Linked DNA regions of Elephas maximus indicus. The protein of the gene in region 2 interacts with the protein of the main gene of each other region in a pairwise test. Links are inferred from orthologs where the notes say so. Each region holds a gene or a part of one and is shown on either strand. Other genes may lie near its edges.

The links.
Region 1: the proteins of EVL (region 2) and TRIM9 interact in binary tests that used the Homo sapiens proteins (3 or more experiments, as listed by UniProt). The two-hybrid records come from large-scale screens. The link is inferred for Elephas maximus indicus from reciprocal best matches to the Homo sapiens genes EVL and TRIM9.
Region 3: the proteins of EVL (region 2) and SPTAN1 interact in binary tests that used the Homo sapiens proteins (3 or more experiments, as listed by UniProt). The link is inferred for Elephas maximus indicus from reciprocal best matches to the Homo sapiens genes EVL and SPTAN1.

The regions. Positions count from the first base shown.
Region 1 is NC_064828.1:63,339,077-63,350,278, forward strand, and holds the start of TRIM9 (E3 ubiquitin-protein ligase TRIM9), read right to left. Parts: upstream 5,031-11,202; coding exon 3,957-5,030; intron 1-3,956. UniProt on the Homo sapiens protein: E3 ubiquitin-protein ligase which ubiquitinates itself in cooperation with an E2 enzyme UBE2D2/UBC4 and serves as a targeting signal for proteasomal degradation.
Region 2 is NC_064828.1:113,343,406-113,354,168, reverse strand, and holds the start of EVL (ena/VASP-like protein), read left to right. Parts: upstream 1-6,488; 5' UTR 6,489-7,298; coding exon 7,299-7,321; intron 7,322-10,763. UniProt on the Homo sapiens protein: Ena/VASP proteins are actin-associated proteins involved in a range of processes dependent on cytoskeleton remodeling and cell polarity such as axon guidance and lamellipodial and filopodial dynamics in migrating cells.
Region 3 is NC_064827.1:79,559,068-79,569,419, reverse strand, and holds the start of SPTAN1 (spectrin alpha chain, non-erythrocytic 1), read right to left. Parts: upstream 4,820-10,352; 5' UTR 4,665-4,819; intron 1-4,664. UniProt on the Homo sapiens protein: Fodrin, which seems to be involved in secretion, interacts with calmodulin in a calcium-dependent manner and is thus candidate for the calcium-dependent movement of the cytoskeleton at the membrane.

The DNA.
Region 1 (11,202 bases), about 50 Mb from region 2:
TGTTGTGTGAGCCATTCATTCCATTCTAACTTGTCTTGACCCTGTAGGACAGATTAGACCAGCACCATAGGGTTTCCTAGGCTGTAATCTTTATGGGGAAAACCCTGGTGGCCTGGTGGTTAAGTGCTATGGCTGCTAACCAAGAGGTTAGCAGTTCAAATCTGCCAGGCACTCCCTGGAAACTCCATCGGGCACTTCTACTCTGTCCTATAAAGCCACTATGAGTCGGAATCGACTTGACAGCAGGGGGTTTCGTTTTTTTTTTTTTTTTTTTTGAATCTTTACAAGCGTAAATCTCCAGGTCTTTCTCCCAGGAGCCACTGGTGGGTTCAAACCACCAAATTCTTGGTTAGTAGCTGAGCACTTTACCATTGTGCAACCAGGTCTCCTAATAGTGGTTCTAATTACCTATTTTTAAGTCTAAAAATCATTTTTGTGTATCAATGCTTTATACAAACCTAAGTTGGATAAAGGGATATAGCAAGTGTGAATGCTAAATTAGGAGCCCTGATGGAGCAGTGGTTAAAGCACATTGGAACCAACAGTCGCTCTGCATGAGAAGGATGTGGCAGTCAGCTTCCGTAAAGGTTAGCCTTGGAGACCCAATGGCGCAGTTCTACTCTGTCCTACAGGGTCGCTAGGAGTTGGGATCAACTGAATGGCAGTGGGTTTGGTTTTAACACTAAATAAAAACTATTACTAGATATTTACAAGGCCACTTTGTGCATTATTATTTTACATGTATTTTGAAGATCAGAACCATAAATATCTGAAAAATATTTTAATTTGGTCAATTGACAATAATGAATTTCAACCAGTTGTTTATAAAACAACTTAAAAAATAAACTTTAGCCAATTTCCTTGAATGTGGAAGATGTGAGTTAGTGCCTGAGGGAAACATTTATTCACAGGATTTTCTTTATCAGTAGAAATGATTTATTAATATGATAGAATATTAATGGACACTTTCAGGTCTAGTAATAACTTGTATCCATAAATAACTTCCTAACTTTGGAAGAGCTACTTAGTGAAATTCTTTGCTCTCCTATGTTCTGAAAGACATAGGAATTCTGGCCCATGAGCTTTTGTGGAGAGAGAGTTATCATTAACTAAAACAGACTACATGAGAAAATTGTACATTAACAGATTAATTATCTTGTTAAGGAGATAAAATATAAAAGTAATGTTTTTTGCTTATCTAAAAGATGACAAACCCATTGCCGTTGATTTGATTCCAACTCATAGTGACCCTACAGGACAGAGCAGAACTGCCCCACAGGGTTTCCAAGGAGTGCCTGGTGGATCTGAACTGGCGACCTTTTGGCCAGCAGCCGTGGCTCTTAACCACTATGCCACCAGGGTTTCCAAAAGATGAGAAGTGAATGTTAAAAATCTGTCATTCTTCTGCCTTATTTATTCTTGGCAGTTTAATGCTCCCAATATAGACGTGAACAAACATTACACCAACTTCGTATTTTAGAAAAAAACGTATGAGACAGAGAAGAAATGGTCTTTTTTTTCTTTCCCCCATGAGCCACCCCAAATCAACTCTCTTCCTTGCCTACTTATTTTCTGTCCTAATGTTTATAACATAATTCCTTTTTTAGCAGACATTCAAATTTCAACCCAGTCAGCACCATATTGTCTACTTACAACTTCCATTACTGATAAAACGAATGGTTTAACGTTGCAAATGTATACTGGGCTTGACAGAGATAAAGGTTCCTTTTAGTCTTAATGAATAAAGTATAGGCTCCTCTCCACAGAAAAATAATGCTCTGACTCCACCATCCTAATTAGCCTGTGGCTCTAACTTCTTTTTCCAGACAAGGCAATTAATTTCTCAGTTCCAAGGATACATTTCTGGAGCAATTCAACATTGACTATAGATAGCAATTTAAGAGTTGAAATCTTAATATGAGGAAAAAATTGGCTGTAAACTAAAGTTTTAAAAACTTTCAAAATTAATTATGTCTTTCTTGTTTTTTACTTAAATCAAAGTGTTTTTTAAAAAGTGGCAAGTGCCTAGTGGGGCTTGATTTGTACTGAATAAAATTTCCATCAGTACTAATATGGTTTAATAGGTTGTATGTAAGAATACAAATGACTGGAAACACAGGTCCCATTCAGTTGGGATCAGCAGTTGAGAAAACCTCCACTGCTTGCTGAAAATGGCGATATTTTATTTTTCTTGTTGTAAATAAAACATCAGTGTTCCAGCCTCAACCTCAGGGCCCCTGTTCCAAGGCCAGGCTTTCTTCATTTCCCAGGAATGTGGGAGACCTCTGAGCACAGGGCCACAGTGGAGGCCTGGAAGCACCTTCACTGCCCTGCCTCATCCTTGGGCTTGCACGTCCTTGGGCTTGCAGCGAGGTGACGGAAATCTCCCTCCAATAATCTTAAACCCCCTGCTCTGCCCTCCTCACCCCCAACTAAATGGATTGCTTAAAAAGTAAAAGTCAGATTTAGGCAAATCTCCTCAAGGATGGTTTCCTTTCTTCTAAGCAGCGGTGAGCAAAACATTATAAAGAACTCTTTCCTCACAAAGCTGATTTTCTAGTTGGAGGGGAAGGGGGAAAGCATGAGACAATACAAAAGTAAGATAATAATTAACATATATAGCATGCCGGAAAGGGTAAGTACTATGGAGACAAAGCAAGGAGGGAATTAGGGGGTGTCTGAGGTGGGTGGCAGCAATTGTGGTCAGGAAGATCTCACTGCGAAGGTGATATCTGAGCAGAGATTGAAGGAGGTGAGAGTGAGCCATTTGGATATAGGGTTTTGGGGAAGAGCATCTCAGGCTGAGGGAAGAGCAAATGCAAAGACCATGGGGCGGGAAGGTGCCTGGCTGAGGTTGAGAAACAGCAAAAGCAGTGTGGTTGCACTGCGTGGGAGGAAATGAGGTCGGAGAGGTTAAAGGAGGTGTACGTCATGCAGGTCCTGGTAGACCATTCTAAGGACGACTGAGAAACGTGGGGAACCTCTGGAGGATTTCGATTAGAGGATGGCATGACCTTTCTAACAGGTTGTTAAAAGCACTCTTCTGGACACTAGCCTTGATGGAGGCTCTGTCAAAAGAGACCAGCGGGATAAATCTGATAGCAGGTGTCACAGACTTTGTACATGCAACTACTGAAAGAGGAAAAGAGTCGAATTCTGGAGCAATGGGTATTTGGGGGTGGTTGCTGGAGGGGGTTACCCTGGGAGGCGTAGCTGCTTAGCTTTCGGGCCAAGATTGTGCAGAAACCTCTAGTCTTAACCACTCTTGTCCCACATCTCCACTTGGAGGGTCAGAGCCACCGCCTGCCGTGTTGCCTTGGCGACCACAGGCCAACCCCCCCCCTTCTCAATCCCTGGCTCCGCCTCCTGACCGCGAGGCACGGGGACCCGGCGTCTTCTCAAGCTGGGAGGCCGGGCCTGGGCCAGCGCGGGCTCATCAGTATTCCGCTGCCGGAGACTCCCCCAGCCCCGCCGTGAGTCACAGCCCCTGTCAACCCCGCCATCAGCGAGACCCCAACACCTCTGCTCCTCCCCTTCACCCCAGGCGGAGGCTAGAGCCCAGCAGCAGGTCCTGCCCTCGAGCGTGCCGGGTGTCCCTGGGCGTTGACACGCCTGTCCCTAGCTATGCAGAGCTTTTCCGCACCCCGTCCACAGCCAGAGGCTGCAGGTCCGCCGCGGAAAGGGGGCGCCCTGGGCCCAGCTCGCGAGTAGCGCACCCCAGGAGCCTTGCTTCAGGGCATCCCCGCAACAACTATCTGGGGACATTCAACTCCCCTGAGCGCCGTTAAAGCACCGCCGCGCTTCCTGCAATGCACCAGACGGGGGAGGCAGACATCCGAGGCCCGTTCATTGCACCCCCACTGGGATGCACTGTGAGCAAAAAAGGTAGACCGTCTACTGCAAAATCAGAGGGTCGGAGGCGCGGGGAGTTAGGGGTGGTTTTTCTTAGGACTCACCTTGTGCAGTTTCCACATGGCCCCCAGAGCCTTGACTTCGTGACTGGAGTGTTTACCCTCCTCCAAGCACTGGTAGCAAACGGGCATCTTGCACTGCACGCAGTACATGCTGTGGTTTTCCAGCTCGTGGTCTGTACAGGTGGAAACCTTGCGCGGGCTCAGCCGCCGGCTCACGCGGCCCTGGGCCGGGGGTACCAGACGGTGCTTGGCCAGGGGCCCCCGGGGCGGGTGGCAGCGCAGGCGGCACGGATCGCAGTAGAAGACATCGCACTGTTCGCACATGACGGTGGCCTCCTTGGGCGCCTTCTCGCAGAGCTGGCACTTGAGGGCCGCAGCTTTGCTCTGTTGGTAGCGGTCAATCACCCCTTCCAGGACGCGATTCTTGGGGAAGCCGCGGAGCCCCCGGTCATCCAGGATGAGGCTGCGGTGGCACTGGGGGCAGGTGATACAGGAGTTGCGGGGCACCGGGGCCAGAGCCGGTGACAGGTGGGTGGCTGGTGGCGGCATAGCCGGGGGGAACACGCGGACGCCATTGGGGGACCTCTGGCATGGGGTAGTGGGGGCGCTGGCGAAACCCCCGTAGGAGCCATAGCCGCTGTCCGCCTCGCTGTACAGGCTCATCTTGTCCAGGTCCAGATAGTCATAGTCGGAAACCCCGGAGCCCGAGGCCCGACGGCTCTGGGGGGACTCAGACTCCGGGGTCTGTACCAGGATGTTGCGGGCGCACGCCTGACATAAATTGTGAGAGCAGGGCAAAATGATGGGCTCCCGGTAGAAGGAGCCGCATACAGGGCATTTTAACTCTTCTTCCATCTCTTCCATGGGGACCGGGTTTGGAGCGTTGCAGTGGTGCCTGAACTGGCGAGGTGGCCAGCGGGCCCGTCGCGTCCAGCACCTTGGCCAGCGGCGGCGGCAGCTGCAGCGGGAGTGGTGGCGCCTTCCCGCGTCGCCTTGGCGCGGACTCCCAGCTAAGCACTTGCTCTGCGAGCCCAGGAGCCGCCGCGCCGCGCGCCAGCCCCGGAACGCCTTCTTCTGCCCTCCTAGTCCCGCCCCAACCTCGAAACAGGGGTCCATTGGACGGCGGGTGACAGAGAGAAGTTCTCATTGGCCACGTGCTCCGTCCGTCCCATCCCCTCCGCAGGCCCCCGGGGGTTTAGTGGAGGAGTCTGAACGTCAGGGGAGTCTTTGCTCCCAGCAGCGTGAGCTCGGGAGGGGGCTGGCTTGCGGAGGCGAGGGGACCGAGAAGGAGGAATTAGGCGGGATGACTCATCCTTCGCCCCGCTTGCTTCCGACCTCCGGTGCAGTCACCCAGGAGCAGGGGGCGTGAGAAACCCCTCCCAGTAGCGAGTGGGCTGGCTGAGGGAGCGGGTGCTTCTTGCCAACAGTTTGCGTTTGGCTTCCAGCTACGGTCTCTGCGCCGACCCACCTTCTCTGGGCAGTGCTGCGCACCGCCGGCGGCCCCCCTCCTGCTTCCCCTGCTGGCGGCGTTAGCAGGCCCCTCACCCAGGCCTAGGTTTCTGAGCGGCTGCTGGGCGTCTCTCCCCCTCCCTAACCCCCCGGAAGCTGGCCGCTGGAGCTCCCACATCCCCGGAGTCTGATGGCGATGGGCATGAGCCCCGGGAAGAGAGTCCCTTGGCTTTTCCGAACCCCAGTCCTTCGTCTCTAAAAGGGGATTTCCTAGTGTTGCGGTGAGATTTAAACCAGGTAATCTATGTAAGGAAACCCTGGTGGCGTAGTGGCTTAAGTGCTATGGCTGCAAACCAAGAGGTAAGCAGTTCAATCCGCCAGGCGCTCCTCGGAAACTCTATGGGGCAGTTCTCTGTTCTCTAGGGTCGCTATGAGTCGAAATCGACTCGACGGCAGTGGGTTTTTTTTTTTTTTTTTTTTTTTGGTTAATCTATGTAAAACCCATTGCCATTAAGTCGACTCCGACTCATAGCGACCTTACAGGACAGAGGGAACTGCCCCCATAGCGTTTCCAAGGCTGTAAATCTCTATGGAAGGCGACTGCCGCATAGTTCTTCCGTGGAGTGGCTACCGACCTTCCGGTTAGCAGCCAAGCGCCTTAGACGCTGCACCACCAGGGCCCCAGTCAATGTAAAGGCTCAATATATGAGTCAAAATTTATACCCTCTTTATTTTACGCTTTAAATTCGCACTGGCCCAAAGGCCTCTACGCTGTGGTGTGGATGTGCCTCTAGCCCCTCTTCACTCCCCTGCCTCCCAGTGCTGTTTCTTTATCAGCTCTCCTCAGCTCCTCACTGAGCTTCCACGAGGCCAGCAGGGCTTTCGTTCAGCTGAGACAGGAGTGGTGGGTCTGTTTCTGAGTGACCTTAGTTTAGTAATAAATCTATAGATGAGTCACTCTGTCACTGCAGAGTCTCAGTATTTGAATCCAAACGCCAGTATTAAATGGCACGCCTCCTGAGCATTGACCACAGCCTCCGGCGTGGTGGTTTCTTTCTGTTCCCTCCAGTGAGGTATGTGGTGATGCTGATGGTAGTGATGGGGAAAGGGGGCTCTAGTGCTCGTCCCTGTATATTAAGTACCCCCTCCCTACACATGGCTGAAGATACCTGGTCCTGCCCCTAGTCTGCAGAACTGTTGATTTGATCAGGGAAGGTGCCTCACAAAGGTTTTCTAGACAAGTAACATTCTGAGGTAGCAACTTATTTGTAATAGTACATGGCTGCCTTAACTGATTCATGAAGTAAATGACAAAAACTCTTTCCAAGTTTTAAGCAGTCTTCCAATTTCTAATCTTCCAGAAGAGAGATAACTTGATTATTCATGGTTACATTTATAATTTTGAACCAGTTTATTGTTCAGGAAAAAATCGATTTTTTTATAACTTTGCCCTTGGAGAACTAGTCCAATAAACCAGGTTCTCTTTCCAGCACCTTCTTCAGTTGAAATGAAAGCAGCCTTTAATGATCCTTGGGTTTGTGGAAAGGCCTCATTGTTAAAGCCATCTTAATCACAAATGCTATGCAATGTATTTTTAACCTGGCTTTTAACTAGTTGAGCCTGGAGCATCAAAAAGGGGTATGTACCCTGTTTGCAGGCATAGAAATTTTTCAAGTGTGGTTGAGATACCTGAACTTGCAGAATACATCTAATTTGTGGGCCCCAAGATAATTTGTTAATAACAAGTAGTTAATTATTGAAAAACTTAGAAAGGAGTGTCAGTGCCACTCATTTATGATCCTTTCCATGACTGCTGTGTTAATTTAGCCCAAAGCCACAGTAGCCTTTGACTTGTGCTTTGAACAACTCAGGGTAAGCAGCTCTTACTCTTTCTATGCCTTTGAACTTTGCTCACAACAGTATGTGATCTAAGAGGTCTGTTTATTGGTAGAAAACAATGCTTCGTTGAAAGTAAAGGCTAGCATTAGGGACTATCTGAGACTTAACAGCACTGTCGGTTTCGCAAAGAGCCTTAATAGACTAAAGTCAATATACAAAGATTTGCTCTATTATGAAGTATCTGCAGATGATTTGTTAGGTCTATTTGGTCAGGAATTAGAGAAATTAAACCAGTCCCAGGAGAGCTGTTAAAATGACTATCATTTGTCGAGCACTTACCTTGTTCCAGGTAGTGGGTTTGTTTATGTACATGTATTACCTTTTTTTTTTTTTTTATTACCTAGTAATAACATAAGAAGGTGGCACAGTTATCTCTACAGATGAGTAAAATACCCAAGGTCAAATATTGGTGAGTCTGGGATTTGGACCCAGGCACTTGTGAGTTTGTTCCTTTGTTCATTTATTCATTTGCTCACTCATTCAACAAATGCGGAATTCTACACTGTCTCAGGCTCTATGTGATAAATATCCCAAAATGTCTTCGTTAACCTCCCGGCTATACTGCCTTCTTTTCCTGAGAGTTGATTATTTCTCTCATATTCATTTCTTTAAAGATTTTCCTCTTATGTGTACTACTTGCTCATAACGTACTTTAAATCCCCCCCCCACCATGAATTGTGTTTGAAGGGGAATAAAAATCTGCATGTAATTGATGATATTACAGAAATACTATACCATTGGGTGAATGTCTTTCCCCTTCCAGCTGGTGAACAGCCCATACCCTGAAGCAGGAGGATTGATAGCCCTGTAATTTCGTCATTCCTGGGATGGCTACAGATGTTCTCTTTTGTGTAAAGTGCTTAATCATCCCCTGAAACTTACTGAACTATTCACCCAAATGATGTTTCTTGGCAATCGGTTGAGGAAATTTAAAATGCACTAACTGCTTTTCCATTCTTTAAAGACAAATTGCTTTCCAGTGAAAAATTAGTTGCTTTCCTATTTGCTTATGACTACAGTGCTTGATTATTAACACACGATTTCTTTATTCTAAAGAAATGACCACTCACAGAAGAAAGGGTTCTCCCCTTCTCTCCACATTTTCCCCTAGAGCCATCTATCCTTAGTTTTAGGGGAAAAAATCAGTGACAGCAGCTGTCCATATGCTTTGACACTTGAAGATCCTCTGACATGTAGGAAAAAATATTTTGTATTTACTTAGTGATTAAGGGTATTGCTGGCTGTGGTTTGTAAAAATTGCATTATTTGCAAAGTGATGGATGCGATGTTTATATTTCAAAAGAAATTATGATAAGAATTCTTTTTACAGAGTAACTTACTCCATTAATACTAAATTTTCTACTTGTAATATTTTGTACTATTCTTAAAAAAAAACCACTGCCGTCGAGTTGATTTCAACTCATAGTGGCCCTGTAGGACAGAGTGGAATTGCCCCATAGAGTTTCCAAGGAGCGCCTGGTGGATTGGAAGTGCCCACCTTCTGGTTAGCAGCCGTCGCACTTAACCACCACACCACCAGGGTTTCCATACCATCCGTAATAACTATATATTTCTTTGGGGTTAATATTCTTTTGTCTTTTTAATTATTCAATTATTAAAGTAAGAGCCTTTTGCCCATTTAGTACTACTGGAAAATGACCTTAATCAAATTCTGTTGTATTTCTATCCATAAGTAATATGTTCCTAATATTTTGGGAAGGACAGGCAAAAGAATCTGGGAAGATGGAGGTTTGTGAATCCTGTATTAAGATAAGAGAGTTGAAGGATAAGTCCGGGAGACAACACTTGTGAATAATAGGTATCCCAGAACTAGGAATAGGCACTGGTGGAGGAAAAACCATAACTGAAGAAATAATTATCCTAAACCAAGGAAAGATACGAGATTGCAGATTGAAAGGCTTTTAGAATTACAGATGACATTGGTGAAAAGAGACCCAGCATATGCAGATACAATTCTTGAACTCCAAGGGAAAAAGAAAGGAAAAGAGAATCTTATAAGCTCCCAGACAATGAAACATAAAGAAAAAAATCATATTGACATGTTTTCTTTCTGTGACTTAAAGGCAAGAAGAATGTGAGAAAAACAAAACAAAACAACTACAGCCTGTTAAAAATAAGAGAAGGTATCCTAAGTACTTTATAGCCAACCAGGAGATCACTGGCTTTTCAGGTCAAAGAAAGATATTTCCAAGAATTCAGAGAACATAGCACTCACATATTCCATCTGAGAAAAGTACTTGAGAAAAGATTTTAAACTAAGTAACAAATGAACCTTAGCTAAGTCTTTAGGTTGGATGAGGAGGCAGTGGGGAAGTAAAAGTATTCTAAGGACCTGATATTATTGAGGAGAAATAGAAGAGGAAAAGGTGAGAAATCAAGTGTCTTTGTTGGAGGAATTACTTAGTGTCCTCTTTTTTTCCCCACATAATGGTAAATAAATATATGTATGGTTGAGGCCTGGGAAAAGAAGCATAACTATTAATATAATTGAAAATACAATAAACTAGAAAAAAACAGAACAAAACAAACAATCGAACTCAGTGCTGTCGAGTCGATTCTGACTCATAGCGACCCTATAGGACAGAGTAGAACTACACCACAGGGTTTCCAACGCTGTAAATCTTTATGGAAGCAGGCTGCCACATCTTTCTCCCATGGAGAAGCTGGTAGGCTCCAACCACTGACCTTCTGGTTAGCAGCTGAGTGCTTTAACCACTGTGCTACCAGGGTTCCAAAAGTACAATAAGACCTGAAAATCAGCAAACATTGGGAAAATACTATATGAAACTCTATGATAACAAATTTGAAAAGCAAGAGGAAATGGATAGTTCCTAGGAAAAAATATGTTAATTAAATTAATCCCTCCTAAAAAAATATACATTAGACCAACTTCCATAAAGGGATTTGAAAGGTAGTTTCAGATTTATCATTTAAAAAGGCATCCAAATTAGATGTCTGCACAGATTGGCTCTAGCTAATCTTTTAAAAACAAGTAATTTCAATGTTATTGAAATAATTCTAAATTCAAGAAAAATATAAAATGTTCCCCAATTTTTATAAAGCTGTCATAACTTGAATAACAAAACCTGATATAATTAATAGAAAACAAAATAAATTGAAAACTAGAAACCAGAAACACCAAAGTAATAGATATATAAGTGCTAAATAGGTTATTAGCAAATGGATTTTGGTAATACATAAAAAAAGTAATGAACTATGACCAAGTAGGGATTTTATCTGGAATGCAAGTATGACTATCATGAAAATTATTAACACAATTTAAAACATAAAAAAATTAAAGGAAGAGAACTCCTTCTTCTGGTTATATGGGAGTAATCCTTCCATTAATGACAAGAAAACAGGACAAGCTATAGGAAACAGTTGGTGTCCAGACACTGGGTAATAGGCAGCATAGGATTATAATTTTTGAGAGAAGGCAAAGAAAGATGTGAACCCTTCCTTCAGCCAGGCTTTCTACCACATGGCAATTTCCAGATTGTGGTACAGGGAGGAGAAATCCAAACAAACCTTAACAATCTCCCTCAGTTGAAGACACAGAGATTGGATTTTGGAAGGCCAAAACTCAAAAAAAAAAAAAAAAAACCTGTTACGATCGAGTTGATTCCAACTAATATCGACCCTGTAGGACAGAGTAGAACTGCCCCATAGGTTTCCAAGGAGGGGCTGGTGGATTTGAACTGCCAGCATCTTGGTTAGCAGCCAAACTCTTAACCACTGCACCACCAAGATTCCTTGGAAGACCAAGGAGACTAGAATTTTCAGAGAGGAAAAAGCTAGACAGAGAATGAGTTCCAGGTATCTGGATGGGAGTCTCCTTGGATCTTTGACTGGACACAATCTGTGCATGTATTGGGTGAACCTCTACAAGGCTAGGCGATAGCAACTTCGGTGAAAAGAA
Region 2 (10,763 bases):
ATTTCACCATTTTTCTTTTAAAACTGAAAATCGGGTTGTGTTACTCTCCTGCCTAAACCTTCCAGTGGCTCCCTGCTTACTTCTCCGTCTTCATCTCCCTCTGCTCTCTCCTTACCTTCTCTACTCCAGCCACACTGCAGGAGAGCCCAGTGCCAAGCCTGTTCCCTTTTCCCACCTTGGGTCTTCCTACAAGTTATTGCCTCTGCCGATAATGATCTTTCTCTGATATTTGTACGGTTGGCCCCTTCTTGTCATTCAGATCTCAGCTGAAGTGTTTCTACCTCAGAGAGGCCTTCCCTGTCACCCATTCTAAACTCGTTGTTGTTGTTAGGTGCCACTGAGTTGATTCCAACTCTTAGCGACCCCATGTGACAATAGAACTGCCCCATAGGATTTTCCTAGGCTGTAATCTTTATGGAAGCAGATCGCCAGGTCTTTCTTCCATGGAGCATGGCTGGTTGGGTTTGAACAGCCAACCTTTCGTTTAGCAGCCAAACACTTAACCATTGTGCCACTAGGGCTCCTTCATTCTAAACTTGTTGTTGTGTGTGGTCAAGTTGTTTCTAAACTTAATAACCCCTAAATCACTCTCTGGTATATTGCTATATTTTTATTCTTGTTCGTGTTCATTTAGTATCTGAGTTTCTTTGTTAGAACTTCACCACTGTGAAATTGAGGGCTTTCTCTGTAGCACCTAAAATGTCTAGCATACAGTAGCCCTTCAAGTATTTGTTGAATGAGTGAAAGGATAATTTCAATAACCTGGCACAGATATTTAGAAAGTGCTTCTTTGATGAGGGATGTTGATGTAGACTGGAATGCAGATATAATTACCAGTAAAGCCTACTTTTTGAGTAGTGGTAGACTGGAGATGTAATTGTGTTTGCTTTATGGTAGACTGCCTCTTTTTGGTAGCTTTTAGTTTAAATTGAATTCTCAACATAGAGGTAAGGTATGGGTTTATTTAAAACTTAAAGTGAAATAGCACTGTAGAAATTCTGTTAAATTATGTAATTTGGGGGAAAGACCTAATTCAGTGTGTAGAGCTCAAATTTAAAATTTCTTATTGATTCAACAGGATTTTTTTTAATTTGGTTTTGTTTTAATTTTTGGAATGGTTATTTCAACTGGAATGAAAGAGCATCCAGTAGATTCAAAAACATTTTCACTGAAGACCTCAGCTGTGCCTAAGAATGTGCTGTACCTTGTGAGGCTTAGAAAGCACTAACAACAACGGTTCTTGCCAGCGGGCTTGCCACAATTCCACACGGGAGAATATGGGGACGATGGCCCAAAGCTGAGGTCCTGGGTGGCTCAACCTGCTGGTGCAAAGGTTCAGCGCTCAGCTGCAAACCAAAGCAGTCTGCACCTAGCCAGTGGCTCCAAAGGAGTAAAGTCGTATCTGCTTCCATAAAGATTACAGCCTAGAAAACCCTCCGAGGCAGTTTTACCCTGTCGTGGGGGTTGCTGTGAGTCCCTGGAGGACATACAGCAGCAGGTGGCCTTAAAGGTCAGTCCTGGGTACTGGCCTTGCGTTGCGCTGGGTTTATCTTGAAGCTGCGTTTGCGTAGCAAGCATGCTGTTGTCACTCCTATCGTATGTGTATTTCTAGGGGTAAGGACTAGTGTCTGATGAAGGTTATGGGGATCTAAACTGCACGCCTCCCCTTGTCAGCCCCTTTAGTCCCTGTCCCCAGTGACTCTTACCTTGCTAGAGCCTAAGACATGTAAGTGGACAGAGGTTACTCAGCACAAGCAATGCGTAAGATTTTTAAGTGGTCATTGACGATCATAGGCATTCCGGGGCCTTAAAGACCGCTCTAGGCTGGTCTGGGTCAGGGTTTTGAAGCATAGGCGCTAATATCAGCTCCCATCTATTGTGGTCAATGTGTGCCAGGCATTTCATCCCCACAGCATCCCCACTGAGTAGGTGCTATCTTTCCCACATTAGGTTGAGGAAACTGAGGCTTAAACTGGTAAGCATTTGCCCAAGGCTCCTCAAGTGGGTAGTAGTAGGGCTGGTTCAGAGCCATACCATTCTATCACTGCTTGTGGAGAGAAGGGAGAAAGCACTGTGGACGGGGGGACAAGGGGATCCAGAAATGGAGGTGGGATGAGTAAGTGTGCCAGGGCTCAGCGAGGAGACAAGCCTGGCCACCAGAAGATTCTGGTTGGCAGCTGTGGAAAACAGACTGAAGCATAGAACAGGTCAGTTTGTGGAGTTGCTGAGTGCCAAGCTGAGGGGCTAGATGTTGTTCTGCAGACAGTGAAATAGACTGGTGGGGTTTGAGACTGGAAGGTGCCAGGGCAGGTGACCGTGTGCAGGAAGGGAGTCAGACTGGGAGGGAGACCAGGTGGAGATGGGCAGGGTCTGCGTTAGAGTGGTAGAAGTGAGACTAGAGAGAAGGGGACTGAAGTAGGCCATGGAGGACCCTGTGGAGTGCTTCTTGTCCCCACTCAGTCCCTGCTCATTTGAAAGATCCTTGGTTGGGCCATGAGAAGAGAAGAGTGCTTTTAGTCATGAATGTGTCTGATCTTCAGGTAGGACTTCTACCATTTCATCTCCACGCAGCCCTACAGTGGATGTGCATAGCTAGAAACATCACGAGCGTTTGAACTCTGGATTCTGCTCACACACGCTCAGGCTTACTGTGCTGCACACGCATCATGGATGAGTTCCTACAACCCAAAAATAGTGGGAGAGGAAAACAGGACACAGAGACTTAAACTCCCAGGTTGTCGGTCTGCACATCAACTGTAACGGGACTCATACCAACAAGCTATAAGTGCCCTTTCTTGGAAAACTGACCATTTTATAAGAAAACAGGAGCCCTGGTAGCACAAGAGGCTAAGAGCTCAGGCTGCTAACCAAAAGGTTGGCAGCTCACATCCACCAGCCGCTCCTTGGAAACCCAATGGAGCAGTTCTACTCTGTCCTGTAGGGTTGCTGTGAGTCAGAGCCAACTTGATCACGGGGGTTGGGGTTTTTTGGTTTGATATGAAAAGACATGTTGCTTGCAAAACTAAGGTACATGCTAAGCTAAGGACACTTGTTTCAAATGTTCCCAGTTGTCAGTGACCTAGGGTCCCTCCACGTTAATGACTGTGCTTTGTTCAGTATCTCCATGTCTGTGTTTTTCTGAGAAGCCTCCGGAAGTGTGCATGTCCAGTACTTGCAGTAGGGGAGTGTTCTGCCAGGTCAGCAGGGGCAAGTCAGGAGGCTTTTATTCTTAGGAATGAGACTGGAAAGAGGAAGTGGACCTAGATTACCCAGGGTGAGCATGCTGGCTTTAGCTCTAGAGCCCCACAGAGTATCAGTGCCGGCGGGACCACTGGAGTCATCTGGGCCAGGTGTTCTCAGGCAGACTCCAGGTTTGTCTCTAGTGGAGAGTGGAAAGGCCTAGCAGCAGGGGCTCTGTGGCTCTGCCGCCCCTTCTTCAAACAGAACCATCCACTGTCATCAGTTTTATGTATTGAGGTTCCAGGTAGCTGCTATCTTAAAACACAAAAGGCTAAGAAGTGAATATCTGGCTGTTCCTTCCTGGTAGAAAGGGAAATTAAGTCCCAGAGTAGGAACCTATTTTGTCTGAGTCCTGAGACATTGAAGATGACCTTGAACGACTTTTTAAATCATTGTGTGGTGATAAAAGTCCTTTATTGGGCCTTATTCTGGAGAGGAGTGGAGCTGTCAGGCATCATGGACCCTCATTTGTGACACCCCGGTTTCTGACCCTTTGGTGTTACCAGTAGTTGAGATGTCAAGGATCTGTCTAGTCTTGGAAGCAGGCTGTTTTCCCATCTGGTCCCAGCCCTGTCTCAACTCTTATTTCTACCCCTTACTTCCTGGGGCAGCTGAGGTACTTTTTCAGCCTTTAGAGGTTTCTTGCCTGGCTGTGAAATTGGGGATTAGACAGAGCCAGCTGGATAAAATAGCCCAAAAGGTTCACAGTATCCCAGCCCCTTCTTGGGTCACAGGCTGCCTAACAGTCTGTTGTAAAGTCTTCTTTTAGAGCCGGCCTGAGACAGATCATTGGTGTTAGGATGCCAGCGGGACACAGGGGTCCTGAGGCACTGCTCTGCTAGAACACCTGTATGACTTTGGGCGACCACTTTGGCCTCTGTGTCCTTATTAGCATATTGGGGAATCTCTAAAATTATGTCTAAATTGCTGCTGGCGTTTGGAGATTTTTCACCATTTCTATCAACTCTCCTCTCTATTAGGACCTTGTGAATTGCCTCAAAAGGTATAACCAGCTCTCCAAGAGGAGGTTCTTGAGTCACTGGTGAAAGACAGGCATGGACTAGAGGTTCTCTGTTCAACTGGGCCTTCCACTACACTGGGCCTGCCTCGTAGGCACTGGCAAGGCCTAAGCAGATGAGAACAGTTCCCAGCAAAGCAGTTACTACCCTGTCCTTGAGTTTGTGAAGTATTGGCAAGGTGATGCCCTGGTATCTTCTTTCCCTCCAGATGCTTATGTCTGGTTGATGTCCAACTGCCCCTTACCCATCCCACCTATGACTATACCCAGGTAAAAACCAAAAAACCAAACCCAGTGCTGTCGAGTCGATTCCGACTCATAGTGACCCTACAGGACAGAGTAGAACTGCCCCATAGAGTTTCCAAGGAGCACCTGGCAGATTAAAACTGCCGACTCTTTGGTTAGCAGCCGTAGCACTTAACCACTACGCCACCAGGGTTTCCATACCTAGATAGTTTACAAATAAAAATATCATATAGTTACGTTTGGTCTGGCCAACTGCTCTTGCTAACTCTTGGGTAATCTCTACTGCTTTTTGTTTTTTAAACCTAGGATTTAGGACTGGGACTAGACATGATGGATGGGTGGATGGATGAGTGGGTGGGTGGATGGGAGTGGATGAATGAGTGGATAGGTGGATGGACGGGTGGGTGAGTGGATGGGCGGATGGATGGATGGATAGATGATCTCCCCTTTCCTGAGAATCACAGCACAGAAATATGTTGCTGCCCCCCAAGATGGAAATGCACTACCAATGAGCAGATGGACACTTCAGTGAGGAAGGGGACCTCACCATAAAGAAGAGCACCCAGAAATCAGGGCTGTTCAGCGAGAGGCTGTCTTGTGAGATAATAAAGACCATGAGGAATGTCTGTGTAGCTTTACTTGCCTGATAAAGAACTTCCAGCCATCTTGTGAGAGAGGTGTGGCCAGTGTAACCCTTATTCCAGTTTCACCTGTGCAGAACCCAGTGCTCAGAGAACTTAAGGAAACTGTCAGCAGTCATGGAGTTTGTAAGTGGCAGACCTGGGACTTACAGCCGGGCTATTTAATGGCTCCGAGTCTCCCATGTTTTCTGTCATATCAGGATTCTGCCAAGAAGCTGCTGTCACTAGACAGTCTCAGGCAGACACCTGTCAGGAATACTGGCGAAGGCATTCCTCCGTCAGCTTAGTCGATGATTGCTATATGGTTTGCGGGACCCCAGGATTCCCCAAAATGTCTCCCTCACTAGCCAGTCTGCCTCCGTTTGCCTTTATGACTTCGTTTCTTTGAGTCAAGCTCCAACGCTAGCTTCTCAGAGAGCAAGCGAGCGAGCTGGGTGGAGAGGGCGTGTTCACCCGGAGCACCTTCATGTGAGTACATGTGCTAGGTCAGGTTTCCCCCGGATAGAAAGCAGGGCAAAAAGAGGCACACTCAGGAAACCTTTTTAAGTAACTCTGCTTTGTCGAGGCCTGCCCAAGGCAGTGGGAATACAGAAATGAATCTCACACAGTCCCTGCCCTGACAGAATTCGTGGATCTGTGGGGGAGGCAGAGAGAGTGCTGTGATCGGTGCAGTTGGACCAGAGAGGAGTGAGAGCGGCTAACTGTCCCTGGGACTCCTCCGGGCCCTGGGCAGGAGCAGGCAAGGGACAGTGGGCAGCATGGGGGAGCGGGGGGAACGTGGAGCAATCTGACCCAGGTGGCCCAGGCACCCAAGAAACGGAGTCCTGGCATATTCTGGGATCTGTGGATGTCTCATGAAGAATTTTAATGGAAGAAAGAGTAGGAGAAATCCGTTTTGACTTCATGGGGGCGCCAAACTAATGCAGGGCTCAAATGGGGCGGGGGATCAAGGCCAAATTTAGGACAACTGCTCAGGCAGAATTTTCAAGAAGGGACGCCAGGAAGAAGACTAGGAAGGAAACTGAGACATTAAGTGAGAAATTTTGAAGATATGAGCTGAGGCAGTTGGGGTGGGGGCGGGCAGGACCGGTTCAGAGGAGCCTTTCTGAGACAGAATTGGAGTTAGTGACTGGTTATATTTGTAGTGTGAGAGAGAGAAAAAAGAGACAAGATGACTCACGGGTTTTTATTTGAGATTTGTCTCCCTTGTTTTATAAAGATTTGCAGCCCAAGTGCTGGAGAATCTCCGCAGTGGCAGGTTTCGGAATACCTCCTCAGCCCACTGCCAGATCTGGCCAGCTTGGGCTTCACAAACTGATAAACATTGCTCTCTTTTTTGGCTGACATCTCAGTTCCTTCTTCTTAACTTCTGTTCTGAAATTATTACAGCAATTACTGCACTTCAAGGAACTGTTAAGAGCCCGGTACACATTCGACACTCAGTAAATGAATAATCAAATAAAGGAGACACTAGCTCTGAGTGACAGCCAAGGTCATGTTATTCATGGTAAAAGTGGGGGCGTAAAATGTGACTTTTGTGATCCTGAAGCATCTTAGGCGTTTGTGCAAAACAATGTTTGGTAGAGGGACGGTAAGGTGCCGAATTTTAAAGACTCTCGCCGTGAGCTGCCTTTCCATGTGGTGCAGCCCAGGTTTCACTGTGTACCGTTTGTGCTTACGATGTTGGTCATGCCTGATCATTACAGCAGCCGCCACGGGAAGATGAGGTAATGAGGTCGACCACAATGGAACAGGTTGCCTCCTCGTTTCTTTAAGCTGCAGAATTCTGGTGGGGGGAGGTGGGATATCTTACCTGATTTAACCAGGATCCCGGCATGCCCAGGTCTGGCCGATTTCCCTGGACTAATCCAGCTCCCAGCCTGGAGTCTAGGCATACACTGCATTCATCAGACTTGCTGGAATGATCACATGGTTTTCTAGCTGCCTCCCCTGTTAGCTGCCGCTTGTCAGCAGCTGGCGGAGCTGGAGGCTGCAGGCCCCTGTCTGCAGAAAACCTTCTACTTCAGAATATTGGGGGGTGTGGGAGCCCGCCTCTTTTTTCCGGCACTTCACCCCATCACACTGACTAAATGGTTGTCCTCCGTACCAACAAGGCTGCCAGACAACCCGAGGAAGCTGTCTCTGACTAGGTCATGTTTGCATTTGAAGAATTCAGGTACGTTCTGGGGTTTCTACATCAGTGTGCTGCTGGGTTTTTGTTCTCACTGGGGTTTTGCTGTGTAATGATGGACAGCTTAGGCTCTGGTTGGTTCTCACAAAAAAGGGGTTTTCTCTTCGGCATTTGGTGGGGTGATCCTGATTGTGGGAGGTGTAGAGGTGGGCCAGGTCAGGGATGCTTACAGCATGCAAAAGTGCAGCATGGATAACTGGTTTTATCCTGTGCAGATTTGCCAAGACCCCACCTTGTGCCTCATGGAGCTGCTGTTTCGGGTGTGGAGTTACGAATACAGAATAGTAACTGTTTATCCAGAATGAGTCTCTCGCTATCTTTTGTGTTTCTTCCTTTGTCAAGCTCACGGAGTCTGTTGCCCCTTGTAAAAACGCCCATTGTAACAGTGAAGGTGAAATGTTCCGTAAGTCTGTCTGCAGAGTTGAGATGTGCTTTTGGCTCTGATTTTCCCCGTTATTTTTAACAACAATCTAGCGGCTGGGTGGTTTTCTGGGACGTGCCCTGATGATGTTTTGTTAACAGGGTCCTTTGCTGTTGCAGGTCTTTCAGCTGCTCTAACTATTAATGCCCCAAATTAGAGCCTTTGTGAATCTCACCCCTCCCGTCTCTTTCTTCTCTTCTGCTGGAGTCCGTCCCTGGGTGTGAACGTGGGAAGGGATGTTCCAGCAGAGATAGTTTCTAAGAAATGAAAATAGAGGAGGCGGGATAGGAGGGCGATCAGATCATCCCTGTTCACGTCTCCATCTCTTTGGAGCGTATGCACCTGCGTCTGCTTCCGACCTCTGGCAGCTTCTCGCTTTTCAAATAGAATTTCTGTACCTTTTAGAACTGAGCAGAAATACCATATTGATGGGCAAAGAGTGATCGTGCAGGAACCTCGGTTCCACCTCTCCGGGCCCTCTTTGTTCCCTCCAAATGCTGCTGCGGTAAGACATGGCGATGATAATAGAATAACCACCATTTATTATTTGTAAGAGGAAACTGGAGCCCTTTTAATCGATCGGGGCAGTAGATGAGCGGACGGTTTGGTTTTCTAAAGTAGGGCTGTAAAGGTTGTCCCGCCCTTTTCTGTAAACTTGGTGCTCCGGGCCCAGGAAGTTACCCTTGTCTCAGAGTAAGCCTCTGCATTATTTCCAGCAGACTGGGATTGTGAAAAGGAAATGCTTTCCATGTGGCACCATGGTCCAGTGACGTGGGGCCTGTGCCCTTACATAGGATCATTCCATTAGATAATTAACAATAATTTATTTCCTGCCTGCCATGCTACAGTGGCTAGGCTCTTGGGGAGTGAATCAAGAGTCCTGGGTTCTAATCCCAATTTCAGAAGTAGCTTTTCTGATCCTTGAGTGAGTTATGGAAGAGTTTTGTAAATGTTGGAAGTGGTAGCGATTGTGAGGTTCATATTTCATTGTTAGCATTTATTTCCAGACAGAGTAAGCTGTAGCTACCTCCTTAAAGACAGCTTGGAACCTTTAATTTCATAGTTGGGGAAGAGGGCATATGTATTAACAAACCCATTCCTATTGTGGCGGGGTCCTCGCCTGAGAGCCAAGAGTGGGCCTGAGGGACTGGAGAGGGTAGAGTTAGAGGCCACTGAACAGGTGAATTGAGAAAGAGAGGCCATGGTTGTGGAAACTAGACTCAGAAGGGGAGGTCTGTTCCATCCCCAGCTGTAGGCCTCTGCTTAAGTTGGCCCTAAGTAACTTTGCTGAGTATGCTTATATTTTGTGACTGCAGCATGGTACCAGACAAGTGGTTTCTTCTTTAGTCGTGAGGTTTGTATGCATGGGGCCAGGTGATCAAGGTGGGAAACATAGGGGCTGTGTAGGAGCTCAGCTTGTTAGCTTCAGTCACAGTGGTTCTCAAGTGTTAGCATGTGTCACAGTCCCCTGGGAGGCTTGCTAAAAGTCATGTGGCTGGGCTCTACTCCTGGACTTTCTGATTCAGTAGGTCTGGGGTAGAGCCTGAGAATCTGCATTTCTTTTTTTTAATTTTTATTGTGCTTTAAGTAAAAGTTTACAAATCAAGTCAGTCACTCACACAAAAACTTATATACACCTTGCTACATACTCCCCCTAATGAGACAGCCTGCCCCCTCCTTCCACTCTCTCTTTTCATGTCCATTTCGCCAGATTCTAACCCCCTCCACCCACTCATCTCCCTCCCGGGAGGAGATGCCAACATAGCCTCAAGTGTCCACCTGATCCAAGAAGCTCACTCCTCCCCAGCATCCCTCTCCAACCCATTGTCCAATCCAATCCATGTCTGAAGTGTCGGCTTTGGGAATGGTTCCTGTTCTGGGCCAACAGAAGGTCTGGGGGCCATGACCACCGGGGTTCTTCTAGTCTCAATCAGACCATTAAGTCTGGTCTTTTTACGAGAATTTGGGGTCTGCATCCCACTGCTCTCCTACTCCCTCAGGGGTTCTCTGTTGTGTTCCCTGTCAGGGCAGTCATTGGTTGTAGCCGGGCACCATCTAGTTCTTCTGGTCTCAGGCTGATGTAGTCTCTGGTTTATATGGCCCTTTCTGTCTCTTGGGCTCGTAATTACCTTGTATCCTTGGTGTTCTTCATTCTCCTTTGATCCAGGTGGGCTGAGACCAATTGATGCATCTCAGATGGACGCTTGCTAGCGTTTAAGACCCCAGACGCCTCTCTCCAAGGTGGGATGCAGAATGTTTTCTTAATAGATATTATTATGCCAATTGACTTAGATGTCCCCTGAAACCATGGTCCCCAAACCCCTGCCCCTGCTACGCTGGACTTCGAAGCATTCAGTTTATTCCGGAAACTTCTTTGCTTTTGGTTTAGTCCAGTTGTGCTGACCTCACCTGTATTGTGTGTTATCTTTCCTGTCACCTAAAGTAGTTCTTAACTACTATCTAATTAGTGAATACCTCTCTCCCACCCTGCCTCCCTCCCCCCTCTCATAACCATCAAAGAATATTTTCTTCTCTGTTTAAACTATTTCTTGAGTTCTTATACTAGTGGTCTTAAACAATATTTGTCCTTTGCAACTGACTAATTTCACTCAGCATAATGTCTTCCACATTCCTCCATGTTATGAAATGTTTCACAGATTCATCACTGTTCTTTATCAATGCGTAGTATTCCACTGTGTGAATATACCATAATTTATTAATCCATTCATCCGTTGATGGGCACCTTGGTTGCTTCCATCTTTTTGCTATTGTAAACAGTGCTGCAGTGAACATGGATGTGCATATATGTTTGTGTAAAGGCTCTTATTTCTCCAGGATATATTCCAAGGAGTGGGATTGCTGGATCTTATGGTAGTTCTATTTCTAGCTTTTTAAGGAAGCGCCAAATCGATTTCCAGAGTGATTATACCATTTGACATTCCCACCAGCAGTGTATGAGTGTTCCATTCTCTCCACAGCCTCTCCAATATTTATTGTTTTGTGTTT
Region 3 (10,352 bases), on a different chromosome or scaffold from region 2:
AGTTCTTATGCTTAGGAAATTTTGTAATGCCATAATCTAATCTACAGAAGCTATATGCCCCATTATGTAAGGGGATGTCTCTATCTTTGGGGGGGAGGGCAGTGGTGGGAATTATACAGCGTTAAGCAATACAAAAGACTACAGATACATTTTCAAACCAAAGGTCAAATGCTTTGGACTCTGCAAACTTGGCATCTAAAGTGAGTTGTTTAGGACTCCCTCAAACAGATCTTGGACAGCGGAAGAAATCAGCAATTACAGTTTCTCTATGGAACCCAAGAAAAAAAAAATGTAGTGAAGATGGAAGAAGTCTATTAAAAACAAAAGCATTGGGACTGCCATTCTTTCAGCAAGGGGAATATGCTGGGATGTAAAAGGCATTTGGAACACTAAGTATCATACGAATTTCAATCTTCAGGGAGGACACCAGATAAACTGCTTTGGAAAGAAAGGACGAACGGATCCTCTGGCTCTATGGAAAAATTCGTGATCATCACCCAAAGCAAAAGGTCACAGAAGCCATTTATCGGTCTTGTTTTTGTTGCTTAGTCAGAGCCCAAATGTGCAGAACCAACAAATGCTATTTTACCATGGCTTAGAAAGCCAGCCTGTTACCACTAGATTTGCAAAGCAAGAGAACTACATCCACGAACGTCGAAGGGCTCCCCCATCAGAACAAACCACCCAAGAATTGGTTAGCACCCATAAAATTTTATACCAACTGACTCTCAAATCAAACAAATTAACTCAAAACCAGCTTAGTTGCAGATTTTAGTGGCAGATTTGATAAGCACAGAGGTAAATTATACATAAATTAAGACTTTTAATGCCATGAATAGAAACAAATGTTTTTGCTCAAATCACATTCCAATCAGGATTGTGGAGTCACATTTCAGCCTTCAAATTGATTAATTCATTTCAACTCGTTAGCACAATTCTGCAGGGGTGAGCAGGGACTTAGCTCTAAGAAAGCAAAAGATCCATACTGCATTCCATCAAAATCCAGAAATGCAGAGCAACGTTGAGAAAACTTACTTCCGAATGCTTCCCAAATACTATCTTGCTGCTACTTACCTTTTAACCTGTAAAATTCAGATGAGAGGTATTTAAGTGCATCATATTGTTACTGTGATTCAAAACACGAAACGGGTGTAACATGGCCAATTTTTATAAACCTCATTTAAATAATTAACCCGTCTGGTTTATAAAAAGGCCTGTCTTTGATTTATCACCTATAATCACTAGAAATTTGCAAAGCTTATTTTTCTCATGAGATCAACATATTAATTTTAAGGATTTTTTTCTTTTTGAAAAAGGTCCAATTTAGCAAACACTCAAAAAACTGTACACCAATAAAACACACACATATGGTTTTTGTTTTTAATAAGAAAATGCAAGCTCCATTTTATTACAGGGGTTGTAGCAGAAGAAATAAAACAATGGGACCAGGAAAAAAACCCAAGTTTACAATATTTGTCAAACTTTTTAAAATAGCATTTTTACTACATGTTTCCAGATTTTTTTCCCCCAAATTTCTGGGATAATCTGTTTAGTCTCTTGGTTCTTAAGAACCAAGTAACCATCAAAAAAATCAGCAACACTACATGCAAACGCCAGTAGGGTGGGAAGAAATTAATATGTTCATGCCTTAAAGAGAGGAAGGTAAAAAACGGGAGGCTTTGGAAATTTCAGAGTACATTTACTAAGACCTCTGATCACGTAAACCAAAAAAAAAAAAAAAAAGAGGGAGGGGGGAAACCCCTAACCAATCTGCTTAATAGAAGGTCATGCAGACAGGGTTTTTTTCCCCCTCTCTTTGGATCATTCGACCTCTTTGACACAAACGTGTCTTCACAGCAAGCCAGGCAAAACCGAAAAGGCAACACATTTCCTGCATGCTGGGCAAATACCTGGACTCTGCGTTTACGAAACGATGACAACATGATGGAGGAATGTGGAGTCTAAAGAGGGAGGGGGAAGAGCAAGACAACAAGCTTCTAAGGGCAAACTGGACAAAGTAATTTCAAAATGAATAAAGTAGATCTTTAAAAATACATGAATTCACGTAAAAATCCATTTTCAGATATTTTCCCATCCCGCGTCTCTTTGACATTCTATACAGTTTCTAAATGCCACCAGGGACTTAAAATATGGAAAGAGAACTAAGGTTCTCTGATCTTAGTGGTTACTATCTATCTAGGCATGCTGCCTCGGCCAAGTCACATCTCCCTTTTGTACCTCAGTTTCGCTACTTGTCAAATAAAGTTGTAATACTGAATATACTTTTTAAAACTAAACGTGCCCGCCCCCTAAACAGCACTCTGATAAATTAACCGAGAATCCCAGGACCAGATGATTCCCAAACTCCCTTCCATTCAGTAACAAAACAGCATGATTCCATGAAGCCATCAGAAACAAGAAAGAATTCAGGCTACAAAGATCTGACTGGGGCCTACTTTGCTGGCAAACTTTCTTTCCAAAATAGTATTTCCTGTTCGAAACTTGTACAAGAGGAATATGCAAAAAAGGTGGAAGGGAGGTAATGGTTCACCAGCACAGCTGCTCCAGTCAAATGGCCCAGGTGATCAGCTACGCGTTCCTCCTCAGCATTCCTGAAGTCAGCATTTGTCATCAGGGCCTTGCATTCTTCTACTGTACTTGGCTAGCCACAGCTGATAGGCTGCAGCAGACAGGAGTGCACAACTAGCGGAGTCCTCGCATAGCCCACAGAGGATTGATTACAAGGTCAGGTTCAGCAATGACAGGGCTGTGGCAGATTGTTCCTGAGATCCACTTCTCTGGATCTGCAGTTGGCCCCCCGCCCCTTTGGGATGAAGGCAGGTAGGAAAAACAGAGAAAATTCTAGCCAGGGAACCAAAAGATACGCGTAAAACAGCTCTCCCCACCTAAACCTGTTCATCAGATTGCTTGACAAGCTCAGGTTAGAGCCTGTGACATACCAGATTTCTCCAATTATTGAATTGCTACAAAACACACTGCCAAGAAGACAAAAGCATATCCGAGAATTAGTTCCTAAACTGACAGTTTACCGAAAAGAACTGCTTCACACCTGTCCAGTACAGAGCAAATCTCGTTTTGATTCTCTCCATCTCGGTCCCTGGATAACAGCTAACATACTTCGAGGGTCCCTTTGAGTAATTATTGGCCCAGTTACTAAAAAAGGATTATTGTTAATTTCCTGCACAGAGCCACTTTTACTGCAGCACATTTTTTAACTCTGACTTCAATGTGACCTCTCAAAATCTAAGTCATTAACTGCAATGAAACAGAAAATAAATGACTGGTTTAAGGAGCTGGAATTTTGGCTTAATAGTTTCATACGGCTGAGTGTTCCCACAGTTATTCTTAAGGTTTTCTGTTCCCTGGCTGCAAGACACCCCCATCCTTCCATCTTTGATACATTCTGTTTTACTTTAGTCCAATTGCTATGACAACGCAATTTCTCAACACATGATGAAAATACTTCATATGGTCTCTCTTCTATCCTTCTCTCACCATCATAATTGTAACCTTTTCTAAAATACCATGATGAAGACAGCACAAAGGGCCTATATATTTCAGGATTTATTATATAAAAGAGATCTGACAAGGTGTTGTAGCAATTCAAACATCATCACAGCCCAGTTTTCTGGACTATTCAGGCTTTCACTTAAAATATAATCAAACTTTAATACAAAGCCCCTTATTGAAAATAGATTTTATTCCAACACACTAAAGAGACCTTTAAGAGCCATTTTCTTCGGGAAGCATCTAATCAAATTCGCAGGGACATCTTTCAAACAAAAGACTGCTCTCTATCATTCAACACGGCATGGCTGTAAAATTTTTGACAAATAATATATACTACAGTCGACTCAAAAAGAGCCGTTCTCAAAAAAAAAAAAAGCTATTATTTGATGCAGGTCTCATACAAAGCAAGCGCCGCATCTACCTATTATTTACACGCAAGTCACAATTGGGGAGGAAAGAAATGTTTATTACAAGGAAAGAAAACGAGACGGCAAGTCTCGGGGTTCTCTGCGTCTGGAGAGAGAGCCAAGAATCGCCACACAGGATGAAATCAGGGTCAAAGAGCCCTTTACTCTATGCTTTGGGCTCTTCTTCCCCAAGGGTTGCACCGGCAAGGCTGCTGGACCTCAGTCCTGCGGTGATTTAGAAAAAATGGGCTGCAGGAGTTGCTCCCCACCGACAGAAGGGATCGGGGGCGGCGAGGAGCGCTCTGCAAGGAGCGGGGGGATGGTGCAGATCCTGAAGCGGGAGTCCCCACCCCACCTGCCGCAGCCGGATGGGGCAGGGCGGGGCTGCAGCCAGGCCGGGCCGAGGGGGTGGGGAGGGATCCAGCAGCTTTGGACCCCTCCCCCGCGCCACAGTCAATGACATTCCAACCGCCGGCGCCCAGGGCTCTGCTAGGCGGCTCCCCTGCAGCCCACGCGCCACAAAGCCGGTCGCGGCCGGCTCGCCCGGCTGCTCACGACCTCGTCCAACTGGAGGCAGCTGCAAGACCCGCCCGGCTCACCTGTCCGCGCGCCGGCCCCGCCCCAGGGGTGGCCCCACTCGCCCCTTCCCTGTGGCCCGCCTCTCCAACTCGGGGTCGGCTGCCCTCGGGCCTCGCTCCCGCTCTGAGCTCCCCGCACCCTTCTCACCAGCTCCTGGGGGGTGAGAGGAGTATGTGCGTCGGGCTGAGGGGCAGCGAGGGATCAACGTGCCTCCGCGGCCTCCTTCCCTCGCCGTTCGCTCCGCAGCGGGTAGTGGCGGCGCGCGCGCCCTGCCTCTTTTATAGGCGGCCAAGCGCGTTCCGGCGGCGGGCGGGCACGAGCGCGGGGGAAAGCGCCTAGGCGCGGCGCGATGGGCGGGGGAGAGCGCCTGCGGAGCAAAGGGGGCGGAGCTCCCGCAGTCTCGCCTCGCTTTCGCCTGGCGGAAAGGGCCGAGTGCTCCCGGAAGGAGCCGAAGCAGCGATGTCGGGGAGGAGGGGAGGGAAGCGAGCGAATGGGGAAGTAGGGCGTGCGCAGGGGGTGGGGGATGACGGTGCAGTGTAGTCACTGCCTCCGCCCTCTTGGGCTCAGATGCTTGAGCCGCACCTCCCTTCCCGCAGCAAAGATCCTCCAATCCTGTCCCTCCCCACACTGCAGAGAATCTTCTGCACCGCACCCCTCCGCCCCTGGGAGCCCTTCCAGCACTGCAGCGAAGGGCGGGGCAGGGGCCATCGTTGCAGTCTGGCTAGGGAAGATGCACCCCGGCCGGAAGAACGCCGAGTCCCAAAGGGTGACATCACCTATATGCTTCTTTTCCTGCCCAGTTTCCCTAGGACAGGGCTGGTGCTGGGGACCCAAATCTATCCGCTCTTCCCCCAGCCCTACCCTGATGGGGGCTGGGATCAAGAAACCGAGATGAAAAAAAAAAAGAAACCGAGATGATGTTGGGCTCTGGGTTTGAGGAAGAGATGGTAAGGGGAAAAGGCCAAATACAGATAATAAAAAAATAAAGTCAGCTACTTAGGTGACTAGGGTGTAAGCCTGTTATTCTGGGATTTGAAGCACTAAATAGGTTTTTAATAGCCTTAACAGCAAAAGCTTTCTCTCAGGTCATCAGTGAAGTAGGGTGCACTCCTCTTATTTTATAAACAAGACACTAAGATTCTTTCTGCCAGAATCGATTGAACCTTCCTAATATGTTGTTGATTCCGACTCACGGCGACCCCATGTGTGCAGGGTAGAATTGCTCCATGGGGTTTTCGGAAGCCGAAGCCTGGCCTGTCTTCAAGGCGCCTCTGGGTGGGTTCGACGTTTCCACTAATAGCCTAGCGTATATACCAGGCACGATTCTAAGCACTTTGTGTCTATGACCTTTTTTGCATTCATCTTTACAATAATTGTATGAAGTAGATATTATTTCCCCATTTTACAAACAAGCACCCTGATACAGAGGCTAGGTCTCTTGCCCAAGTGAGGTAGGCAGCAGGCAGAAAAGCTAGGATTTGAATCCAAGCAGTCAGAACCTGCTCTCTTAAACAGTATGCTATATTGCGTTTTCATAGGAAAGGGAGGCATTGTGATGCAGGTGGATGCCTGAGTGCTGAGAAGACAAAAATAAGAGGATTCCTGGAATTTCTGTCCCTTACAGTCTTTTTTTTTTTTACAGTCTAGCAGTTTAAGGGCCTGGCTCTAAACTCCGTAACTAGGAAACCCTTTCCCCACCCCCATTCCAGTGACAGCTGGGTCACAGCCATTGGGTCTAACACCCAGATCATTCCTGTGCAGTCAAGGCAGACCCAGAAGGTCTCAGCTGCCTGGTTACCAAGCAGTCCTCCTCTTTAAATAAATATAAAGGCACGGGGCAGTGCACCAAAACTTGGGCCCAGGCCCAGCCTGGACTTCCTGCTCCTCTGCAGTTTGGCTTCTTCCCCTGTGCCTGGGATCTGCAGTCTGGCTTCTAAGCTGTCCTGGCTGTAGCCATGATAGCAAGGAAAAAGTCCCCCATTCTCTCATTCCATCAGAGTGGAGGGAAAAGGCGTGGCCACACCCCAGAAACAGCTCTACAGAATGTGGAGGAAAAACGTAGGCTCTGAGAGGCATTTCCTGCAATCTTCTATGTAGAGAAAACAGGGCCAAGTAACTCCTCCCTGGGGTGTGTATTACTGGGAACAGCTGATGGGCGTGAGTGCTTGAATTGCCTCTTTTCCAGCCGGTAGCAAAATGTTTAATCAAATATTCAACTCTGGGTACAAAATGGCTAACGCATTGCCGTTCTCCAAAATTCCCAAGACCCTCCGCTCCAGCAAAGAACAGGTCTCAGGACTGTGGGCAAAAGCTATAAAAAGGGAGGATTTTTCTTTTAAATCCCCTGGCCCCATTGTGAAATGGGGTTTTGCTGCTTTGCCAGATGCAAAACAGATTGGAGACCTTAGAGAGGGCGTGTATATTGATACAGAAACTGAGATCATATTTGTTGATCCTTTGTCCGATCTGAGACATGGCCAAGAAACAGTATCCCCAGCCCTCCCTACCTCCCACTTCCTAACCCACCCTGTTCTGCATTTGGCACTGGAAATCAGATGTTTAAAAAGCAATTCTTCATGTGTTCCATTATCTGCCTATCTCATCTCCCACCAATTTTACCATATGCCAAACATTCTGCTAGGTGTGGGGACAGGGAGAGGATAAAGCAGATAATGACCTTCTTTGTTTTCTGAGAGAAACTCATTGAAAAAAGCACACCCGCACACAACAAAAAAAGTACAGGACAGTGTAGCAGCTCTGTAATCAATTGAGTCCATGTTCTCAGTCGCATCTCTCCTGGCTCCCTGAAAAGCAGGGGCTAGGACTGAATTTGTGGGAGAAAAAAATGTGACAGTCTGCTTCCGTGAAGACTTAGAGCCTTGGGAACCCTATAGAGCAATTCTACTCTGTCCTACAGGGTTGCTGTGAGTCGGAATCGACTTGATGGCAGTGGGTTAGGACTGAATTCTAAGCTCCTTTCTAAGCTCCAGCAGTCCTCTGAAGGTTTGATATGCACCCTAAACTTAAGCATCTAGGTAGTTCCAGTATCTTTCCAAGTCTCTCTCACGCACACACACGGCAAAGGTCTTGGGCTGGCAGATGGACTGTACTTCTTCCTAGGTGACATTTTGCAGTGTCAGCGCTGACAAGAAATACCACAGATCTTTAAAATACAATGACTGCTCCTGAAAGTAGGGACCACACTAGTATAGAAGCTGATGGAAAAAAAAGATGCCTGGCAGCAGCTGGGGATATGGCCTTGCCAGGCTGGCAAAAAAGGTTAAGAGATTCATTTCTGGGGAACAAATAGTAGGTGGCAGAGCTGTCTAAAGCTGGGATCAGATGGGCGCCAGGGTAACTCCCTGGAAGCAGAGCAGTGAGCTAAGAGTAACCAACATTCATTGAGGGCTTCCTTTGCGCTAGGCACCGTGTCAGTGTTTCATATCCATCAGCTCACCTAGTTCCTCTCTAAAGGCAGCGGTTCTCAAAGTATGGCCCTAAATTGCAGCATTAGCAAGTTCTCAGGCCCACCTCAGACCCACAGAATCAGAAGCTCAGGGAGGCAGGAAGGGCAGCAATCTGTGCTGTGATTCTGATGCACACTTAGGTTTGAGAAGTACAGCTCCAGGGCAGTGACTGAACCCAGTTTACTTTTAAAACAGTGTTTCCAAAATTATTTGACTACAGAACCCTTTTCTAGGATCCTGCAGAAAAACACTCTGGGAAAAGTTACCCTAGTTGAAAATGCATCTATCTACTGTGTTCCCATAGCGTTTTGCTCAAACAGCCAAGTATTCTAAGTACTTAAATTACATTCCCCATTGAATTGAAATTCTACCCTCCATGTCACCTATTTCCCTTTAAGTAGGAAGTATTTTGCAAAGCATCTTTAGAGTCAACTTTCCATCCCTGCTATAGGTTGATAGCTTCAAGGTAATATTAGCCACCAAAAACCCATTGCTGTGGAGTCAATTCTGATTCATAGCAACCTCACAGGACTCAGCAGAACTGCCCCATAGGGTTTCCAATGCTGTAAATCTTTACGGAAGCAGACTGCTACATCTTTTTCCCATGGAGCGGCTGGTGGGTTTAAACTGCCAACCTTTCGGTTCGCAGCCAAGAGCTTACCACTGCACCCGCTAGGCTCCTTCTGTAGCCACCAGGGTCCTGCTTTCAGGGTTGTAGGTTCTAGAGCTTGATTTTGTTATCTCATCAGAACTTTTTCTGAAAAGTAAAAATCTTTTTTGGGGGGGTGGGAAGGAAAAGGAGTATCTTTTAATTTTGAAATAATTTTTAATTTACATAGAAGTTACATGAACAGTAGAAAGAATTTCCATATACCCTTCACCCAGGTTCCCCAACTGTTAACATTTGACTGTTTGCTTTGTCATTCTATGTATGTATATATGTATGCGTTTGACGTATGTTTCCCCATGAACCGTCTGAGACTATGTTACAGTTATGTCCATTTATTCCTAAGCACTTCAATGTACAGTTCCTAAGAACATTTATTTTCATAGCCTCATTACAATTATCAAAATCAGGAAATTAATGTTTACATAATACTATTATCCAATATATAGACCATATGCAAGTTTTGCATATTATCCCAAGGTTCTTCACAGCAAAAACAAACAAAAAAAATTTTTTTTTCTGGTCCAGGTTCCAACCCAGGACCATGAATTGCATTTAGTATAAACATCCTGAAGGAGTTAAAAAAAATAGTTTCTTGAAAACATAAATCTGTGTAAACTGATATAAAAAAATAAAACGGAGCCTGGTTGTAAACTAGAGGATAAGTCCCTGTATAGTGGGTGTTTTTGTAAATTAATCAGAGGTGGAGGCCCACAACTTTCATCTCCTTTCTGCAGGTCCACAGAAAATCTCACACCAGGGATTTACAAAACGGAGAAAAGAGAAGTGAATGACCAGTTCTGACAAGGTACCTCTAAGAAGTTCTGTGGCTCTGTTTTGGCTCTCCTGGCACTGAGATAAGACATCCAAACCTAATTATGTCACTGCTATCATCATTATAGAAAGCTTGAGAAGTAGGGGCAGGCTCCCAGGGCCTGGGTAGGAAATCCCCAGAAGAACAATTCAATTCTTCTTTACAAGGGATGTGCAGAATTTCTGTCCTACTGGAATTTTCAGTTCATCATCAAATTTACCTTAAGATGATACAGGACAACGATATGACAAAAATATGGGTACTCAGCCCAAGAAATGAGGTCAAGCTCAAAAGGAAGCAAGCAGACGAGTACTAGAGTTAAAAACTAAATGCCATCCTTAGTATTCTACTTTAAATGATCTGATGCTACTACCCATCAGGAGTTACATCTATCCGCTAGAAATCATTATCTGTGAGGGTGACACTGTCAGTATCAAAAAAACTGGCCTCCCCAATGCTCTCCTTTCTTGGTTTACTGTTGAGATTCATGAGGAATACCAAGCATCGAATGACACGTACAAGACTGTTAAATATGTCTAGAGAAAGGATATTCAAATATTATGAGAGGCGTTTTCTATGGAGTGGTAGAAATTCAAAGTGGAAGTGGCTTCAGAGATCATTTTGTCCAGTGATTTTTCACATTTCATTTTTAGCAGCAGAACTTGGCCCATTATGTAATCTTGCACATAAGGCAAAAATGCTACGGCAGAGAGGATCCCAGGGCTCCATTAGGGCCCCACTTAATGGCTGTGTAAAATGTGAACTGCACAACTCTAATGGGTACCACATACCTAAAAAAAAAAAAAAAAATCATAGATTTTTATAATTAATATGATAATATGCCAGCAGATGAAGTAGTATCTTGAAGGAAGGCGTGCTTTTTTCTA